Linked DNA regions of Schizosaccharomyces pombe. Changing the gene in region 3 together with the main gene of any one other region gives a genetic interaction. Each region holds a gene or a part of one and is shown on either strand. Other genes may lie near its edges.

The links.
Region 1: of vrp1 (region 3) and bbc1, changing one suppresses a phenotype caused by changing the other (phenotypic suppression), as found in Schizosaccharomyces pombe (one study listed by BioGRID).
Region 2: mutations in vrp1 (region 3) and myo1 are lethal when combined (synthetic lethality), as found in Schizosaccharomyces pombe (one study listed by BioGRID).

Annotation. Positions count from the first base shown.
Region 1 is NC_003424.3:4,105,064-4,112,544, forward strand, and holds bbc1 (SH3 domain-containing protein), read left to right. Parts: upstream 1-1,584; 5' UTR 1,585-1,763; coding exon 1,764-6,599; 3' UTR 6,600-6,981; downstream 6,982-7,481. Other genes in the region: RNA polymerase II CTD phosphatase Rtr1, read right to left, coding at 53-646.
Region 2 is NC_003423.3:1,023,463-1,029,970, reverse strand, and holds myo1 (myosin I myo1), read left to right. Parts: upstream 1-1,997; 5' UTR 1,998-2,040; coding exon 2,041-2,043; intron 2,044-2,087; coding exon 2,088-5,738; 3' UTR 5,739-6,008; downstream 6,009-6,508. Other genes in the region: coatomer beta subunit Sec26, read left to right, coding at 1-855; monooxygenase Coq6, read right to left, coding at 6,116-6,508. UniProt on the Schizosaccharomyces pombe protein: Type-I myosin implicated in the organization of the actin cytoskeleton. Required for proper actin cytoskeleton polarization.
Region 3 is NC_003423.3:3,053,254-3,059,322, forward strand, and holds vrp1 (verprolin), read left to right. Parts: upstream 1-2,011; 5' UTR 2,012-2,221; coding exon 2,222-3,020; intron 3,021-3,072; coding exon 3,073-3,203; 3' UTR 3,204-3,506; coding exon of another isoform or gene 3,507-4,807; intron 4,808-4,822; 3' UTR 4,823-4,964; coding exon of another isoform or gene 4,965-5,077; 3' UTR 5,078-5,138; coding exon of another isoform or gene 5,139-5,203; 3' UTR 5,204-5,550; downstream 5,551-6,069. Other genes in the region: SPOM_SPBC13E7.07 (uncharacterized protein), read left to right, coding at 1-79; RNA polymerase II-associated Paf1 complex protein Leo1, read right to left, coding at 352-1,450, 1,641-1,831; transcription factor TFIIIB subunit Brf1, read right to left, coding at 3,507-4,807, 4,965-5,077, 5,139-5,203; rbd1 (rhomboid protease), read left to right, coding at 5,879-6,069.

The DNA of each region.
Region 1 (7,481 bases), on a different chromosome or scaffold from region 3:
ATTATACATATTCTGGGGTGAAAAGAAAAAATTTGATAAACTTCCATTTGCTTTATGATTGTTCATTAGCCAAAGGATGTTCAACGATTTCACCAACTTTTGCCTTATAACCCACAGGCAACGCTTGCAGGAGTAAGCGTACATCTTCAATTTTTTTGTTTTCCAACTCTTTACGAAATGCTTCATCTTGACGAGGATCGAGATGTTGTTTCATAGCTTCGCGAGCATCTTCACGTATCCATAATGGTTCGTCGCTCAACTCAACCATATATTGACAACTTTTTAGAAAGCAATCCTTCGAGCAATAATAGTTGAGTCCACCGTAGACCTTCATTCCTGAATCTTCTAATTTATACCTAGTTTGCTGCTTAGGTTCATAAGGACAAACGGGATAACCGCACAGATTGACGAGTTTACGCTCCTTCACCACTTGATCGTAATCACTTTTTCGAAGGTATTTACGAGCTTCCTCTAAAGTTTCTAGGGAAACCGGATCAACCAGCTTTTCAATCCATTCGAGGGCAAAAAAATCATACTGAAGTCGACTGCGTGCTTCATCTATAAGACTCTTCGACCACGTGATCAATTGCTTTTCTTGAGTGCTTTGAGCATTTTTCGGCTTTTTGAGAATTGATTTTTTGTTCATATCTGAATTGGATATATTGGAGTCAGCTGGAAAACAGAAGGTCTTAAAAATCGCTATTAGGCAGATATGAGTCAGTCAAGCATTGGAAGGAGGAATGAGCATCGTAAAAATACTTTAGCGCCGTGCAATTTTTGTTAAAGAGTTCTTGAGTTACGCAATTCATTTACAGCGAACTAAGACAGTGCGTTGGCCTTGGTACTAAAAATTTTGATAGAAATTACCCTCTCAGTTGAGTGTGGACAAAGGAAAAAAAATAAAGAAAAGCATGCGTTGCACCAATCATGTAAAGAAAGTTTTGTAGGTCTCTTTAAGAAAATCATTTTACCGTTAAAAATAATAATGATAAATTTACATCCACCCTATTCATATCTTCCACTAGTAAATAACTGGTCCTTAATCTTAATGATTCATATCCATATCCATACCATACCCCACACCCACACAGTAATCGTAAATATAGCAAACCAACGATGCTGTGGCTTCGTTTTAGGATTGCTAGTGTATCCTTATGTAAAATAGGAAACCAGATCCAATTGCGTAAATATTATTATAACGTTAAATAACAAAAACCAATCAACATTGATAAGCAAAATAATACCCAATAATCTTACAGTGCATTACGCTACCTTTGGCTAGTCGAACGAATCACTGTCAACAAGATGTTACGATTGGAAGGGAATTCCCCAGATCCTTTCCCCACAATGTTCATTCATTGAAAATCGTCTCACATGTAGTCAGTCGCTTCTTCACGTGCGATATTATCATTTGGGTGTTTATTGCTGTTAAGATTGACCAAACTTCTTTGTCTGCACAAATCGCGTGCCCTTTAGGAACCAAAATGACAGTGTACTGGCTTAGATATCCTAATAGAAGAGATTAACGATGACGTTCAGCTTCGCTATCATTTGTATATATTTTTAGTGGTAAAATAAATCGGCGGAGCCTTCATCTTTGGTATCTTGTTTTCTCTTTTTTTGGCTTTTTGTATATCTGTGTTTTAGGAAAAAAGAATCAGTGTATTGTATATTGAATGGTACCATTCTTTTTATACTGGTTCATTGTTTATCTGATCTCTCTTTGTACTTAAAAAAAGTATTAGCGGATCGCAGGCTCCACGATGAGCTCGTTTCCCACAAGAGTGGTTGCACTCTATCCTTATAGAAGCAGCTTCTCCGATGACTTGGAATTTGATCCAGGCCAAGTTATCGACGTCGTCAGTAATCTGGACGGCGACTGGTATACCGGAACATATGTGGACTCGGACGGTAACAGGAAAATTGGCTCCTTTCCAAAGGACTTTACCGAGCCAGCAGAGGATGCTGTGTTTGTAGAACGTGCTAGCGAAATGGCTCTTCATCAACCTACGCCAACTAGTGCTGTTCATTCTCGCAACTCTTCCTTAGGTTATGCTCCTTCTATTACACGTAGCATCAAGTCGATTTCCAACAATACAGAGCATCTTGGTGCCGATACAGAATCATATCTTTCAGCTAATGACTTTATTGACAGTACAAGTGAAGCACTTACGAAGATAGTTGATGTGGATACATTGAGTGCGCCATTCGGTAACGACAGCAACTCGCGTCCACATTCTTTAAAAAATGTGGAAAAATTGCATACATTCTCAGCTCCATATACCATATCTGAAGAGACGCCATCTTGCTCCACTGAGAACGACTCGCTACCACTTACCGCTACTCACACTATTACTGGTGGTGAGGATGCTGCTACCGGTGCTGCTGTAACCAACACCACCACTACCCACATTACTACTTCCACCAACACGTCTACCGTCATCCCCTCTAACCCAAATTCAGTTTTTCTTGTCGATTGTACTCATTCACAGTGCCCAACTGATTTACCAAACATCGCAACTACCCAACACTCTTTAAGGTATCTTGATAACGCATCTGCATCCGCAATAACCGTTTTGGAACGCACTCATCCCGCAGCTTCTTCCACCATGGCTACTGAGTCCTCCCATCAATCTCCGTCTGCGGACTCACAGGCAGAAGAATTATCAAAGAGCCAGCGAGTTGCAAAGGATGACGATCCTTTTGTTGTTTCCAATACTGCGAATTCCGATGAGCCAGCTTCAAGCTCAAAGCCCGCTAAACCCCTTACTGATTTGAATCGAGCCTTTTCTCAGCGCCTTAACTTGGATCCTCAAAAGCCCGGTAAATCACAGGGCGAAATCAGTGAGCAGGAGGAAGATGAATATGACGATGCTGAGTCAGATGAGATGCACAGTCCCTATAGCACTCACGAACCCGAATCTGAACCTGAAGACCAGGATGAACCATCGGAAAAGGATGATGAGAATAAAGATGTAGAGGAAGAACAAGAACAAGAGCAGGAGGAAGAACAAATTGATCCCGAAGAAGCTAAACGAATTGCCCTACGCGAACGAATGGCAAAAATGAGTGGAGGTATTGGTATGCATGTTTTTGGATTGCCTGGTCTAGCTGCACCTATTGGACGGAAAAACACTTTGAGGAGAACTCCTGCCAAATCCTCCGAGGAAGCAAAGAGCACCACTAATGACTCTTCTCCACCAAAAGACTCTTCTTCCACTTCTACTCAACCTACTGAACAATCGAATGCTCAGCAGGCTCCGTCACCGAAGGAGGAGGAGCGTCCACTTCCTTCCGAACCTTCTCAAAACCAACCAGCAGAATACCGTGATACTCCTGATACCCCCCGGAATATAATGCCTTTACCAGGCCTTATGTCTGCCGACCAACCAATAAAGGTCACTGAGCCTTCCAACGATGCAGATAAAGCTATTGTTGCTGAGGGTCCCAATAATGAGGAAGAGACTAAGGGACCAGTAATCCCAGAAACTCAGGAAACTTCCGAACAGCAAGTTCATAAAACTCCTTCTCCGGAGAAGCAAAAAGTGCTTTCTCCTCCTCCAATTATTACTAACTTTGATAAGGAAACACTTGCCTCTAATGAAGCACACGAAGCGGTACCCCAAAAGCCTTCTGCTCCACAAGTCACTCGTCTCATGGCTCCACAAGATAGCTCTTCAGTGGTAACTCCTTCCCCAACTTCTTTGCTGGATCCTGCTCGTGCTGTTCGTAAAGTAATTGATGGAATTGATCCCCCGAAAGAAGCTGGTGCCGGTGCTACAGCTGATGTAGAATCGGCTGCTAACTCACCAATTACGCCTCCTCGCACCTGGCATTCGCCCGATTTTACCTCCAAGTCGTTTGAACCCATAGAGCGCAAACTTCCCAGTCGCATTTCTGAGGTCACTGAGGACAGTATTGACGAGGATAAGCAGAATGAAGTTGACCCTTCCACCAGTGCGCGTGCTCTTCCTCCGCCTGGCTTACGGTTTGGTAAAGTCGACACTTTAGCCAGTCTTGCACATGATGATTTAGATGATTTACCAGCAGTTCCACGTATATTTAGCCCACCTCCTTTGCCAAAGACGCCCTCTGGCGAATTTGGAGATAATGAATTTATGTTCCCAAAAAAGTCAAATCGTGTTCGTGGTCACCAGTCCAGACCTTCAACTGGTTCCCAACTTCGAAATGTTGTTCCTGTTTCTATTGTAACTTCTGGTGGTCGCCCCGCTTTACCCGACGAAATGGCCTCGCCTAGCTCTTCTATCGGTCATCCTTTACCATCTCCTCCTCCAGCGGATTTTAATAGTTTAAATGTGGATTTTTACGAACCTCATAGCTATCTTGAATCTCCTGCTCCCGAACCTCAACCTTCTTATGAGGAAGAAAGTTTTAATGCTACGGTAATACATGCTCCAACTCCTAGTACTGCTACTTTTCAAGGTCATCCTACCATATCAAATGTTGCTACTCCACCTTTGAAGCAAGATGTTACCGAAAGCAAAGCTTCTCCTGTTGCTGATGCCTCAGCAACACATCAATCTAGTACAGGGTTAACTCAAGAAATTACTCAATTAGGCTCAAATATGAGATTACCCACCAAGTTGACACGTCCATCAAACGATGGACGCAAAGCTTCTGGACCAAGGCCTGCTGCTCCTCCCTCTATTCCTCCACCTTTACCAGTAAGCAATATACTATCTTCGCCGACTTCTGAACCTCCAAAGGATCATCCACCCTCGGCGCCTTTGTCGAAACCAGTATCAACTTCACCTGCTGCTCCGCTAGCCAGGGTACCTCCAGTTCCTAAACTTTCGTCTAAAGCACCTCCGGTGCCATTGCCTTCAGCTGATGCTCCACCAATCCCAGTACCTTCTACTGCCCCTCCTGTACCCATACCCACTAGTACTCCACCAGTACCGAAATCTTCTTCTGGAGCTCCATCAGCACCACCACCAGTACCAGCACCTTCATCTGAAATTCCATCAATTCCAGCTCCGTCTGGAGCTCCACCGGTGCCAGCACCTTCTGGAATTCCACCAGTGCCAAAGCCTTCGGTCGCAGCCCCACCGGTACCAAAGCCTTCAGTTGCAGTTCCACCGGTGCCAGCGCCTTCAGGAGCTCCACCAGTTCCAAAGCCTTCAGTTGCAGCTCCACCAGTGCCAGTACCTTCGGGAGCTCCACCAGTTCCAAAGCCTTCAGTTGCAGCTCCACCAGTGCCAGCGCCTTCAGGAGCTCCACCAGTTCCAAAGCCTTCAGTTGCAGCTCCACCAGTGCCAGCACCTTCTTCTGGAATTCCACCAGTACCAAAGCCTGCTGCGGGTGTCCCACCGGTGCCTCCACCAAGTGAAGCTCCACCGGTACCAAAGCCTTCTGTGGGTGTTCCTCCAGTCCCCCCACCATCTACAGCTCCACCGGTGCCGACACCTTCCGCTGGGCTTCCACCAGTACCAGTTCCTACTGCAAAGGCTCCTCCAGTACCTGCACCTTCTTCTGAAGCCCCTTCAGTTTCGACACCAAGATCTTCGGTTCCGTCGCCACACTCGAATGCCTCACCTTCTCCAACTTCTTCTTCTATGGCTTCTGCTGCTCCAGCACGTACTTCAGTTTCAAGGTCGAAATCTAAAGCTGAAAGGCATGAAACATCGACAAGCAGTCGTAAGTCTTCAAAGTCTGGAGAACACCATCATCATCACAATGAAGGACATGCTGATTCATCTTCTACTCGTACGTCATTAGCGCATCAAGACAGTCGTAAATCTCTTCATCGACATCTTTCGCGCTCTTCGAGTAGAGCTAGTAAGAAACCTTCTATTGTCTCTACTACTGGACCTTTTAACGAAAGCTTTTCTGCAAAGCCGGTTGAGCCTTGCGCTTCTGAGAAATGGTGGCTGAATTCTACTGCTGTTCCTAAATCCGTAGTGCAGATGAATGACTCTGTTCTATATATGATAAAAGAAGGAATTACAGGGCAAGATAAAAAATACAAGTCTGTACACATACTGTTCCCTGACTACAGCCAAACAGTCTTGACAGCTACATTCAACCCACATAACCAAAATATTACACAATTATCTCAACTTCAACTAGCTCCACCAGCACAGCCTTCAAAAGCTAGATTAGATGAGGAATATGCTTGTTATGGCTCTACAATTTTGAAAAAAGCCCGAGCTTACCAAGGTAGCATGGTTGGTGATGGTTCTGCATTCACTTTTGTTAATTCCGTTATGTCGATACTGGCGCATAATCTCGAACCTATAAACAAACAGACTTTTGGAGGTGTGATTTACAAGAATGTTGGAAATGTTACTGTGCAACAAATTGGTGAGATTCGCCCAGGTGATATAGTTACATTTGATAAGGCTAAATTTAGTGGACAAAAAGGTACTCTTCGTTCAAAATACTCTCTTGAAGTTGGTAAGCCCATGCATTATGGTATCATATCAGAGTGGGATGTTTCGAAACTGAAGATTAGGGTGTTGGAACAAGGCAGAGAGTCCAAGAAGGTTTCAGTTGCAAGCTACAAATTCGGTGATTTAAAGAGTGGAGAAGTTACTGTGTGGCGTGTAATGCGTCGATCTTGGCTTGGTTGGAATTAATGGTAATTATTTTACTATGGTTTTAAGTTCTTATCATTTTATCACAAATAACTCAAACTTCCTAAAGAGCAGCACTCATTTTTTTAAATTGTTCAATTGCGAAGCAGATTTGAATAGTCCTTAATGATCGTCTGTCAGTATATTCTTTCACTGATATATCTTTGACGATTGGGATTATTTATATCATTTTTTGACGACACGCCCTATGTTTTTAGAAGACTTATATCTCGTGGAAGTTGTTTGCTGAATTATATTCACATATATACCAAAGATTGGGCTATGTGATTCAACTTTTGAAATATATATACACATCTACAGTCATTTTTATAGTATATGCTAATAATCAGTTATATCTAATTAAACAGTTGAAATGCACAATTAACAATGTATGGTAAAAGGATAAGATTTTGTAAGTTATTGAACTGTACTTAAAGACAATTTCGGAAAAAAAAAATCCTTTACAAAATTCTAACTCTTTTTTCAAACGCTTGCGCTTATATAATCAACAAAAAACATTTATTTCGAGGTGAAACCGAAAATAACGGTTAACTGAAATATATACCTAGTCAAGATTAACGAGAGTGACTTTCACTAACACCCAGAGAACAAGGATGTAACATTGCAAACCAAACAAACTTCTTAGAAAACACATTCAGTTCAAGTGTTATGACTGTTCACCAAAATGAACAACCGTCAAGTGCAAAACGCAGTTTAGGGTAAACTAGTAAATAGGGAAACAAATGGAAAGTGTAAGAGTCATTTGAAGCAATAGACCCATTATTGGTACAAGAATTTGATGCCACACAAAGAGAAGTAAGAATAAATAGATTGAAAGATTTTTTAAAGGAGAATCGTATGTCGTTAAGATTATTGCTAGTGGTA
Region 2 (6,508 bases), 2.0 Mb from region 3:
AAGGAGGCAGATTTGTTAGTTAATGGAAGTGATGCTGTTCAAGCCGATGAGCTACTGAATATTCGCCAATTTCAAAGGGTCATTGAAGAAAAGCAGGATCTTAATTTTGAGTCCGACATCATACAAGCCACCAACGATGGTATGGTAGTGGAAGATTTGGCATCTAAATTAGATCATATCGTACAATTAGCCGGTTTTACAGATCCTGTTTACTGTGAGGCATATGTGAAGATACAACAATTTGATATTATTCTAGACATATTATTGGTTAATCGAACGGATACCACGTTACAGAATCTCTCTGTTGATTTGGCTACGTTGGGAGATCTTAAGGTTGTAGAGCGTCCACCACCCATGAATTTAGGACCTCATGCCTTTAAATCTGTTCAGGCTACGGTAAAGGTATCTTCAACGGAGTCTGCAGTAATCTTTGGAAATATCGTGTATGGTGGTAAAGCATCCGACGAAGACAAAATTGTTGTTTTGAATGGCATTCCAGTCAACATTATTGATTATATAAAACCCGCATTCATTCCCGAATCTCAATTCCGTAGCATGTGGACGGAATTTGAATGGGAAAACAAGGTCGATATTTCTTCCAACGAAGACATTAGTCTGTACGATTTCTTACATAAAATAATGAAGAAAACCAATATGAACTGTCTTACTCCAGACGCGTCTCTGCGTGGTGACTGTGGTTTTTTGAGTGCTAATTTGTACGCCTGCAGTATTTTTGGGGAAGACGCACTTATGAGTCTTAGCGTTGAAAAATCCGTCTCCGGTCCTATCTCAGGACATGTTCGCATTCGTTCAAAAACTCAAGGCATTGCCCTTAGCTTGGGTGCATTTGTTTAGAGTAGAATTATATAAGGAATGTTATCCACTCTTTAAATTTCTTGATGGATTAAATTCACAATGGGAAAGCTGTTATGGATGCTGATTTAGTAGGTATATCATGTGTCTAATATTTCGCTAAATCGATATCTGATACGCTGTTTTATTACTCTTGTTGTAAATACCTTTCCTGCCGTTCTTTATTTAGCTCCTTATGATATTTCTACGATTTCGCAATTAAAAGGAGCCTGCCTTGTCATGTTCTCACTACTTGATATCCTGACATTACTAAAGTTGTGTACCTTGTATTTCTCTGTAACAGGCAAGTAGATTAGCTTTCATCTCGTGCATTTAGTTTGGTATTATATATAAACCCCGTTATTTCAATTAATTATGGCACTCACAAACGTTGTCTATAAATCACTGTTTGTATTCTTTTATAAATGATATAAACAGATGATTATGTTTAAGTTACTGCAAATCATATAGCTTCTCTCATATTGTGTTACATCCTAATATCTGTAATAAGTTAATTGTCATAGAATATACTCAAGGTCAATACGAGAACTACAGTTGTATTTGCTGGGGAATTCAACCTTTTATGTCGCGTTATAATAATCTGCGGCTGCTTTGGTTCTTGAAACGGCGATAGCCGTTATATCTAAAATACTTCAAAACTTCTCGCTTTATGAAAGGTATCTTCGACTTAAAATATTCATAATTGAAAATTCATGTTCATTTAATTCATCTTATCGACTACATGAACACACAATAATCAAATCAAGTATTAACTAATTCAAGCGCGTTATGTTTATCACTTCATCATAATTAGTCGCAAATTTCATACCTTTAGTGTGTTCGTTACCTTACCTAATGAAGTTACCCTAAAACACATTTGGATAAGTTTCGTTCGAGTATGTTACATAACAAGCCTCTTTCGGCTAGGTAATTGTTTTAATGTCAATACCAAAAATGGATGAAGCAAACGACAGAAAGCTAAAGTATATTCAATTTTCAGCTAAAGTACAATTTTAATAATTGGGGTCTGAAGTTTCGAACGGTCTTTGGCAATATTGACCTAGAAACTCATATTTCGCTCATTTTAACGATCCGTAACGCAATTATCTCAGTATTAGAAGAAACCTACACGTAAGTGCGGACTTGTCGTTAACCTATCTCTTGTTCGGCCATAAGTGAATAGATTTTATGGTAAGTAAATATGCATGCCGAATGTTAGCTAATTAATAAATTAGGCCATCCTTAAGAGAACAAACCGCGCGAAAGCTGCGACTGCAGCTGCTCCCAATAGCACTGGGAAAAGCAATGGTATTAAAAAGGCTGTTTATACCAGCACACGCAAAAAGACTGTGGGTGTTGATGATTTAACCCTACTTTCGAAAATTACAGATGAGGAAATTAACAAAAACTTGGAACTGAGATTTCGCAATGGAGAGATTTATACATATATTGGACATGTGTTGATTTCTGTAAATCCATTTCGAGACCTGGGTATTTATACGATGGATATTTTGAAATCATATCAAGGAAAAAACCGTTTGGAAACGAGCCCTCACGTTTATGCAATTGCTGAGAACGCTTACTATCAAATGAAGTCTTATCATGAGAATCAATGTATTATCATTTCTGGTGAATCGGGTGCTGGTAAGACTGAGGCTGCAAAAAGGATCATGCAATATATTACACATGTTTCAAAGTCCGTTGGCACTGAAATTGAAAGAGTTTCCGAAATTATTTTAGCTACCAATCCTTTATTGGAAAGTTTTGGTTGTGCAAAAACTCTTCGCAATAATAATTCTTCTCGTCATGGAAAGTATTTAGAAATGATTTTTAATTCCGGAGGTGTTCCTGTCGGCGCTAAAATTACGAACTACTTATTAGAAAAGAACCGAATTGTTAATCAAGTTCGCAATGAGCGTAATTTCCATATTTTCTATCAATTCACCAAGAGCGCTCCTCAGAAATATCGTGATACATATGGCATTCAAGGTCCGGAGAATTATGTTTACACTTCTGCTTGTCAATGTTTGTCGGTTGATGGGATTTCAGATGAGAAGGACTTCCAAGGAACGATGAACGCCATGAAGGTTATTGGTATCACCGAGCCGGAGCAAGATGAAATATTTAGGATGCTTTCTATCATCCTTTGGTTAGGAAATATTCAATTTCAAGAAGGCCAAGATGGTGGTAGCGTGATTTCTGACAAGAGCATCACCGAATTTTTAGGCTATTTGATCGGTGTTCCTGTTGCGGCTATTGAGCGTGCCTTGACAATTCGTATTATGCAAACTCAGCATGGTGCAAGGCGCGGATCTGTATATGAAGTCCCCTTAAATCCAACACAAGCTTTGGCTGTTCGTGATGCTTTGTCTATGGCGATTTATAACTGTCTTTTTGATTGGATTGTCGAACGTGTCAACAAAGCTTTGGTCACATCAGACAACAGCGTTTCCAATTCGATTGGTATTTTAGATATTTACGGCTTTGAAATCTTTGAAAACAACTCTTTTGAACAATTGTGCATTAACTATGTTAATGAAAAATTGCAACAAATTTTTATAGAACTTACTTTGAAAACTGAACAGGAAGAATACGTGCGTGAGCAAATTGCTTGGACTCCTATCAAATATTTCAACAATAAAGTTGTATGTGATTTGATTGAATCCAAACGACCTCCTGGTCTTTTCGCAGCAATGAACGACGCTATCGCTACCGCTCATGCTGACTCTGCTGCGGCGGATAGTGCTTTTGCTCAGCGGTTAAACTTTTTATCCTCCAATCCACATTTTGAACAGAGACAAAATCAATTTATAGTCAAACATTACGCTGGTGATGTAACCTACAGCATTACAGGAATGACCGATAAGAATAAGGATCAGTTAGCAACTGATATTCTTAACCTTATTCATTCTTCCAACAACGAGTTCATGAAATCTATTTTCCCAGTGGCTGAAGAGAGTAACTCCCGTCGTCGTCCTCCTACAGCTGGTGATCGTATCAAAACTTCTGCTAATGATTTAGTAGAGACTCTTATGAAATGTCAACCATCGTATATACGTACGATTAAACCCAATCAGACTAAGTCGCCTAACGATTACGATCAGCAGATGGTTTTACATCAAATCAAATATTTAGGTTTGCAAGAAAACATTCGTATTCGTCGTGCTGGTTTTGCTTATCGTCAAGCTTTCGATACGTTTGCTCAGCGTTTTGCAGTTCTTAGTGGTAAAACCAGTTATGCAGGAGAATACACTTGGCAGGGTGATGATAAGTCTGCTTGCGAACAGATTTTGAAAGATACCAATATTCCTTCATCTGAATACCAAATGGGTACTAGCAAAGTTTTCATTAAAAATCCGGAGACCTTATTCGCGCTCGAAGACATGCGTGATAAGTTTTGGGATACAATGGCAACCCGTATACAACGTGCTTGGCGTTCTTATGTTAGAAGAAGATCTGAAGCTGCTGCTTGTATTCAGAAGTTGTGGAATAGGAACAAAGTTAACATGGAACTTGAACGTGTTCGTAATGAGGGTACTAAACTTTTGCAAGGTAAAAAGCAACGCAGAAGATATAGTATTTTGGGATCCCGTAAGTTTTATGGAGATTATCTATCAGCTTCAAAGCCTAATGGTACTCTATGGAACACATGCGGCCTCTCTCAAAACGATCACGTAATTTTCTCAATGAGATGTGAGGTCCTTGTTCATAAGCTAGGCCGCACTTCCAAACCTTCTCCTCGTCAACTGGTTCTTACCAAAAAGAATTTATATTTGGTGATTACAAAAATTGTTGACCAAAAGCTCACACAACAGGTGGAGAAGAAGTTCGCTGTATCTTCCATCGATTCTGTTGGTCTTACAAATTTGCAAGATGATTGGGTTGCAATTCGTAATAAGTCCAGCCAAAATGGAGATATGTTTTTGCGATGCTTTTTCAAAACAGAATTTATAACTACCTTAAAGAGAATCAATCGTAATATTCAAGTTATCGTGGGTCCCACCATTCAATACTGCCGAAAGCCTGGCAAGGTACAAACTGTTAAGACGGCAAAAGACGAAACCACTAAGGATTATGACTACTACAAGAGTGGAACTATTCATGTTGGTACTGGCTTGCCTCCTACCAGTAAGAGTAAGCCTTTCCCTCGCTTAGCAACTGGTGGTAGTACAGCAGCTGCTAGAGGGCCTCGCCCAGTTGTGCAGAACAAACCTGCTGCTACAAAGCCCGTATCTATGCCGGCTGCGAAGAGCAAACCTGCTCCTATGGCTAATCCCGTAAGTACTGCTCAACAAACCCAAAATCGTCCCCCTGCTCCTGCTATGCAAGCTCGTCCTAATACAACTCAAGCTGCAGCCCCAGTTACAAGTACGACTACAACTATTAAGCAAGCAACCACTGTTTCTGCTTCTAAACCAGCTCCTTCCACGGTAACTTCTGCAGCTTCTTCTCCAAGCAATATCTCTAAACCCTCTGCTCCAGTTGCTAATAACGTCAGCAAGCCTAGTGCTGTTCCTCCTCCTCCTCCTCCTCCTCCCGCTGAAGTCGAAAAGAAAGACTTGTACTTGGCCTTATATGACTTTGCGGGACGCAGTCCAAATGAAATGACTATCAAGAAAGACGAAATTATAGAAATTGTTCAAAAGGAGCCAAGCGGGTGGTGGCTTGCTTTAAAGAATGGTGCTGAAGGATGGGTTCCCGCAACCTATGTGACAGAATACAAAGGTTCTACACCTCAAACCACCGCTTCTTCGACTAATGTTGCAGCTCAAGCGAATAATAATGCTAGTCCAGCTGAAGTCAACAACTTAGCTGGTTCACTTGCTGATGCCTTGCGCATGCGAGCATCAGCTGTGCGTGGTAGTGATGAAGAAGAAGATTGGTGAGCTTTCATTATGATGTATATATAATACGGCCAGTACATTGCTTGATTCTTAATTTGCAATAATGAATGGCTTGTGACAACTATAGTCTCTCCTATCGCATGTTTTTTAGCTATCAATGAAAGCTTCTAGTATTTGCTTCTTGCATGTTTTATTGTGATAGATTGAGAATACTCTTCGTCGACGACTTTGATTAAGCAAAGCTAAATAGTAATTTAATTGTGAAATATAGTTGATACATTGCATAGCGTATACTTATAAATGGGACAAAAGTGATAGCTTCTGTAATAATATTAAAATCATTATCTTGTTTATTGTTTGAATAAATTAGTCAGCTCCAGTGGTAAAACGTAAATATAGTATAGTAGACTTCGACAATACTAAATTCCATTAGCTACCGTAGAAAGAATGAAGTTTTTCAAGCTAGCACTGCGATCAAATAATGAAAGTCCAAGGGTTCGTACAGAAGTGACCACCGGATTTTCCATTGCGTACAGCTTGTGGAACTTATCAACGACTCCTAGATAAACATGGTTTTTGAAGTAACGGTCACGGAAATACGGTTGGAGTGAAAAAACACTACCAATATCCTGACCGTGCTTGATAGCAAAAGAGAGTGCTGATATTAAAGATTCAACATCCTGAATTCCAGTATTTAATCCCTGTCCAGCTAATGGATGAGTGTTATGAGCAGCGTCCCCGCAAAGGGCAATTCCTTCTTTTACATATTCATCAACATGGGCAAGTCTCAACGGAAATGCCGCCCTAGAACC
Region 3 (6,069 bases):
TAGCCGTTCTGCTTACTCTTATATTAACAACGGTCAAGCAGGCTCTTCCAAAGGTAACCGATATGATAGTTTGTGGTAGGAACTCATATCACGCTTTAATGATCACAGAAATACATCTCAACACCTAATCCGCCATATTTGCTTTAAAAAAAGTAGTTTTATTTTATATAGTTGCTCACTACAATTCTCGCTATTGTACATGTGAATCCCATTGCGTTAAAAATTAGACAAGATATAAGAATAATGTACAATTAATAAACATCTTTTAAATCAACGAAATAACACAGAGACCATACTTCGCAAACAAACAAATTGGCTATTTACAAAAATTGAATTACAAGCTGTTTGGATTTATTCGCTATCGCTCTCAACAATCCGACGCTTCACTCTTCTTTGTACAGAACCATCACCGACAGAAGTCTCTGTAACGGTCTCGGATCTGTCAGTTTCCACTGCGCTAGGAATTACCTCATCGTCTTCATATTTATTAATAGTAGCTCGTGCTACACTTGCTTCTTTATCCGCATCAAATCCTTTTATATCGGAGCCAGCTCCAACTTCTTCTTCATCCTCTTCATCTTCTTCTTGTTCCTCTTCTTGTTCCTCTTCCTCTTCCTCTTCCGCTATAAAGTCACCAAGGTCATCTTCTTCATTTTCTTCCAGATCCTTATTATAACCACGATATTGACCAGCTCCTTCTTGTTTAATTCGTTTTAAACGATCCATACGGTCACTGTCAATGATTTCATTTTGTTCGCTATAAGTAGAACGGGGACCGTAGAAGGAAGAGTAATCCTCTTCTTCTTCTCCTGTTCCATTCTGATAATTGTTCAATTGCTTTCTTTTCTCTAAACGTCGCCGAGCTCGACTTCGTTCCTCCTCATATTTTTCAGCCTGACGCTTTAGTAGTTCTGGATCCTTTTCAATAATAATTTCTTGTACGCTTCGACTAGGAACCTGGACTGTGGTGAGACGCATAGATGGCAATTTTGATCTTGTAGCAGTGTTAATGGCTGAAGGGAGGAATGTAAAACTGCTTTTGAAGGATGTTTGAACTCTCAGTAAATGTTGTGCTTCATGTGAGGCAGTAACAAAAGTTGGTTGAGATATTAATTTATTTTGGGTATCATATATGTCGTTACCAATGCGAAGTGAATATGAACCATCAGACCATTGTACAATTTGCGCATTCGATTGATAGCTTCCAGACGGCCCCAATCGCCAGCGGACAGTATTATCAACTTTATGTTTTATTCTTTGACCCCAATGCGCGTCGTGTTCTAATAAAGCTGCATCTGCTTCGGCTTCCGCGGCGTACTGCTCTGGATCGTACGGAGTCTGTTCCACAGAAAGGAAATTTGGAATATGAGCATGAAACACGTCATTACTAGCAGAAGCTGGTGATTTGAAATTGGGAACAGCGACTTCAAGGACTTTCTTTACAGGAACACTAACATTTGTTAGGATGCATAGATTTAAATAGCTTGCTATAGTAAAAGACGCTAATTTTTGATTTTTTACTAAAAAGCCTCATGAAGCGATTTATTACTTTCACCACTGTGGCAGCTGTATAATAAATACACATTTAGAACTACCATCGGCTAGAATCAATTCGCTTCATCTATAAGACTGCAACTTACTCTGCTTCAGGGGCTTCAGTAGCCTCTTCTGTATTCGAAAACAAGCCGTCATCGCTAACGGCTGTTTCACTATCGTTTTCTATATGGCCATTTATAAGTTCATCTTGCTGCGAAGTATGATTGTCTTCATTCTCACTAAACAAATCATCTTCCTCTTGACCGTTGCGGATGTCTTCTTTAGAATCCGACATTAAATCTATTTAAATTCCTCAAAAATTCACCAGTCTAAACTTTCCAGATTGGTTCCGGTCAGAATACGTATGGTGTTGTACTAAGATGCATTAAATTGAATAATCACTAGAAGGTACAATCCTGTTACTTGTAGTGCATGGTGGTGGTAGAAAGCTTAGGGTAGCTCATAGTTAAAACCCATACCCGTGTTTCCACTTTATATTTTGAGTTATATTTATTATTGTCAAAGTATATAGCGAATATTTTTTGTAAAATCATTTAAAATCTGATAATTTAACTTTTACTTTTATTGTATTGTTAGGTGTACAGGCGAATTATCTACTATTTTGATTACAGACCTCAAGCTTGTTAAGATTTATTTTTGATTTTTAATTCTTCCTTCTTATAAAATGGCACCTGCACCACCGCCTCCTCCTCCAGCACCAGCGCCTGCTGCTGCTGCTCCGGCCCCCCCTCTAATGACCGGAGATCGATCAGCTCTGCTCAATTCTATCCAGAAAGGAAAGAAACTAAAAAAAGCTACAACGAACGACCGATCGGCTCCCGTTGTCGGAGGAGGTGTCGTAGGCGAACGTAAATCTAACACTCCAAAAAGCTTTGCTGCTCCTCCTGTACCCACAGGCGCACCCTCTTTACCGACTTCTTCAAATAATACTCAGCAAGCAGAAGAGAGACCTTCCATGCCTGCATTAGGAGGTTTATTTGCTGGCGGCATGCCTAAGCTTCGTCATATTGGAAAGTCAAGTGCTTCAGCCGCACCACCTTCCGCTCCTGCTCCTCCTACTCCACAATCTGAGTTGCGTCCGCCAACAAGTGCGCCCCCTCGACCTTCAATTCCTCCACCATCTCCTGCATCTGCTCCACCTATTCCTTCAAAGGCACCTCCTATTCCATCGTCTCTACCTCCACCTGCACAACCTGCTGCACCGGTGAAATCTCCTCCTTCAGCTCCTTCATTGCCCTCAGCGGTACCTCCGATGCCACCTAAAGTTCCTCCACCTCCTCTATCTCAAGCTCCTGTTGCTAATACATCATCACGCCCTTCTTCTTTTGCTCCACCAGCAGGACATGCACCTAACGTTACATCAGAATCTCCTAAATTTCCTAATAGAGGTCCATCCATTCCTTCAGCTTCTGTTCCTCCAGTTCCTCCATCTTCTTACGTCTTGCAGCAGCGACCTAATCGTGGTAAGTTTGCGATCATTAAAAGCATTATTTTTTTATTAACACAAAACTCTAGTTGATGATCATGGAAGATTCCACTTTAAGGATGATAGTTACTTACCAATTCCTCATCCCTTTCTTGGAGTCCCTAAAGTTTATCGGGGTGGTAGTGGCACTACGGTCCCTTTGAATCTCTCTTCATTTTAACAAATCTTTTTAAAGCTGTGTACGATTAATCTACTACCAGTGTTTAGTTGTTAAACACAGAATTTTCTTTCGTTAGATGGATACTAATAATTACTCAGTGATAGAAAAAAACTAAAAATTCATGCGGCCTTTTTTATGAATATTAAAATTATTTATAAAGATTCATTAATCCTTATAAATAAATCGTTAAATAAACTCTAAAATTAATAAATTAATGTATAAAAAAGGATTATCGTACAACAAAAAAACGAATGTTCTTAAATAGCCCCAAAAAACTCCCAATTGCCCAAATTTAGTAAAAAGTTACGACTGCTCTTCGTCAAATAACATATCCAAAGCTTCATAGTTGATTTTTTTTGAAAAAGCTCTTTGTTGCATCATTTCTTTTGCACTTTCAGCAGCAGTATCGGCTATTCCATCACTAGTGCTATCTCTAGGACGATATCGTCTTCTTTTACGAGGTTGTCGGACAATTCCTTTTTTTAAATCTTCTTGGAGTTTTAAATTTTTCGCCTCTTCCTCAGCTAAATAATCTTTATTCAACTCCATCCAAACTTGAGTTTTAGTCAATATTTCATCCTTGTCAAGCAAAATATCTTCAATTTCATCATCATCAACGTCTTCTAAGGTAACTTCTTCCTCCGAAAATTTAACGTTAACTTGTAGAGAAATCTTTCTAAGTTCATCGCCCTTAAGGGTTTCAGTAACCTCTTTCCTAATTTCTCTTTCATCGGCCTTCAAATGCACAGGAGTTTCTTGAGATTCAACTTTTACTGTTTGCGAAAGCTCTTCAGACTTAACTTCGTTGCCATCAAAATCCGGGGTCCTTTTAATAGGGGACATGTATTCTTGTGTGTGATCAATGTTTGAAACTTTTTGAGCACCGTATTGTTGAAACTTTTGATTTTTAGTAAAGCTAGGAGGATCGCTCTGTCCTTCCAGCCAAATGTTTCGAAAGTCGGCGATTGAAAGATCACCGCTCTCAGTTAATTTAAACTCATCAAGGCGTTTTTGAATAGTGATATCCGCAACTTTCACGACATGAACCACTTCTCGTACGCTTCGTCGAAAATTATTCATTCTTGCTGCAATGAGTAAGCATGCACCACAAATTCCAGCTGGCCGACGACCAATTTGCATCCAGTCTCTATTCATTCGCGCTACCAATCTGATAGCGTCGTTTGCGACACGATGTGTTTCCGGTCCAAATTCGAGTAAAGAAGCAAATCTACTGATATATAAAGACGGATCTAAAAGAGGTAAATTAGGCCTTAAAACGCGGCACAACTTGAGAAAAGTAGACCCAAGCTTAAAAACGTTAATTTGCAAAATATCAGAAAAATCGATTAACATATGAGACGTCTTAGATATCCGGCAAACAATATACAAACAGGATGCAACAACGTATTGCGATCTCCTTCCTTTTATAAAGTTGTTGTTAATTGCCAGTGTAAAGTAGCGAACTGCTGCTTCGATATGGCGTTCGTTAAGTTTTAAAGCAATTGCCAATGCCGAAATTCGGCGACGTCCGTTTGCAATGGTAAGTTCTCTGGATTCTACGGATCCTTGATTTCTGTAAGGGCCACCAAAAGTCCGAGCATGAGCTAAAGCTGTGTTAGATATAAGTCGATGAAAAATATGGACGAAGAGGTGTCTATTAGTAAAAGATCAAACCAAAATTTAACACAGACTGAACAAAAAAAGGTGACTGCATCAGAACTGTAAAACACCGCATTGCTGGATGATTGCCTTCTAACTTACTTTGATCATTACTCACAAGAGAACCCTGAACAACAGCTGCACCAGTTGAAGCCTCTCCGAATGTCACTTCCGAAACAATTGCATCTTGCTCGACGACAACACCGCATTGTGTACTATTCAATGGTTAGCAGTCAATTGCCACGTTAAAATTATATAATAAAAAAAACAACTTACCAATATGTATTTCCAGAAGCGGTATCAGATTCAAAAGTAGTTGAACCGCAATTTGGACATCCCATGGCGAATAACTGAAAACACTTGGGCGTTAGCTGTTTGGGAAATGGTATTTATCAAAGATTAAGTTTAACCCACATGGAGTACTTAAGTGGGGGGGGGGGAAAGAAATATCACTGCAAATATGCATACTAGCATATATTTTAAAGGTCTACAGAGAATTTAATCGGGTTTAATTGTTTGTTATTTTATTTTGTTTTTTTGTTCTTTTTTAATGGTTTGGAAATGAAGAGCGTTAAAATAAAATTAAAAATAGTAAATTGAACTTTGCTTCTGTATATGGTATTTGGACTTTTTAGTTTAATATATATTATAACAATTTTTACTAGTAAATTCTCTAGTTTATCTCGAGCATTGCAAGTTTAGCAAATGATTAATGAATCGTGACTATATGGTTCATTAAATCTTTTTATGTTAATTAACTTGTTAAAAACATTGTTTGGCATATATATTTATATAAGATTATGCAAGTAACGTAATTAGGAGAATAAAAAGTAAGACAGAATATATAAAGAAATAACTTAAATTGCTTGAAGTTAAATAAATATTGGTAAAGATCTTAAGGTACTGTGAGAAGCGTAAGCGGATTCTTATTTCTCTATCTTAGGCAACACTAGCGTTTCTATGCATACAACCTCATAGTCCTTACTCACCTTTTCTCACATATATTTAATACGCAGATGAATCGTTTGAATTTTCAAAGTTTACTCTGGAAATTTGGACAAAAAAGGTTTTATTACAGACCATGGATCAGAATTGAAAATATTAAACCAACACCATTATGGAAACCGATTACATTTGCTGTTGGTGTTGGTTCTGCCACCTTTTATACGGCCAATTATCTCGATAAAAGAAGAAAAAACTACCCCAA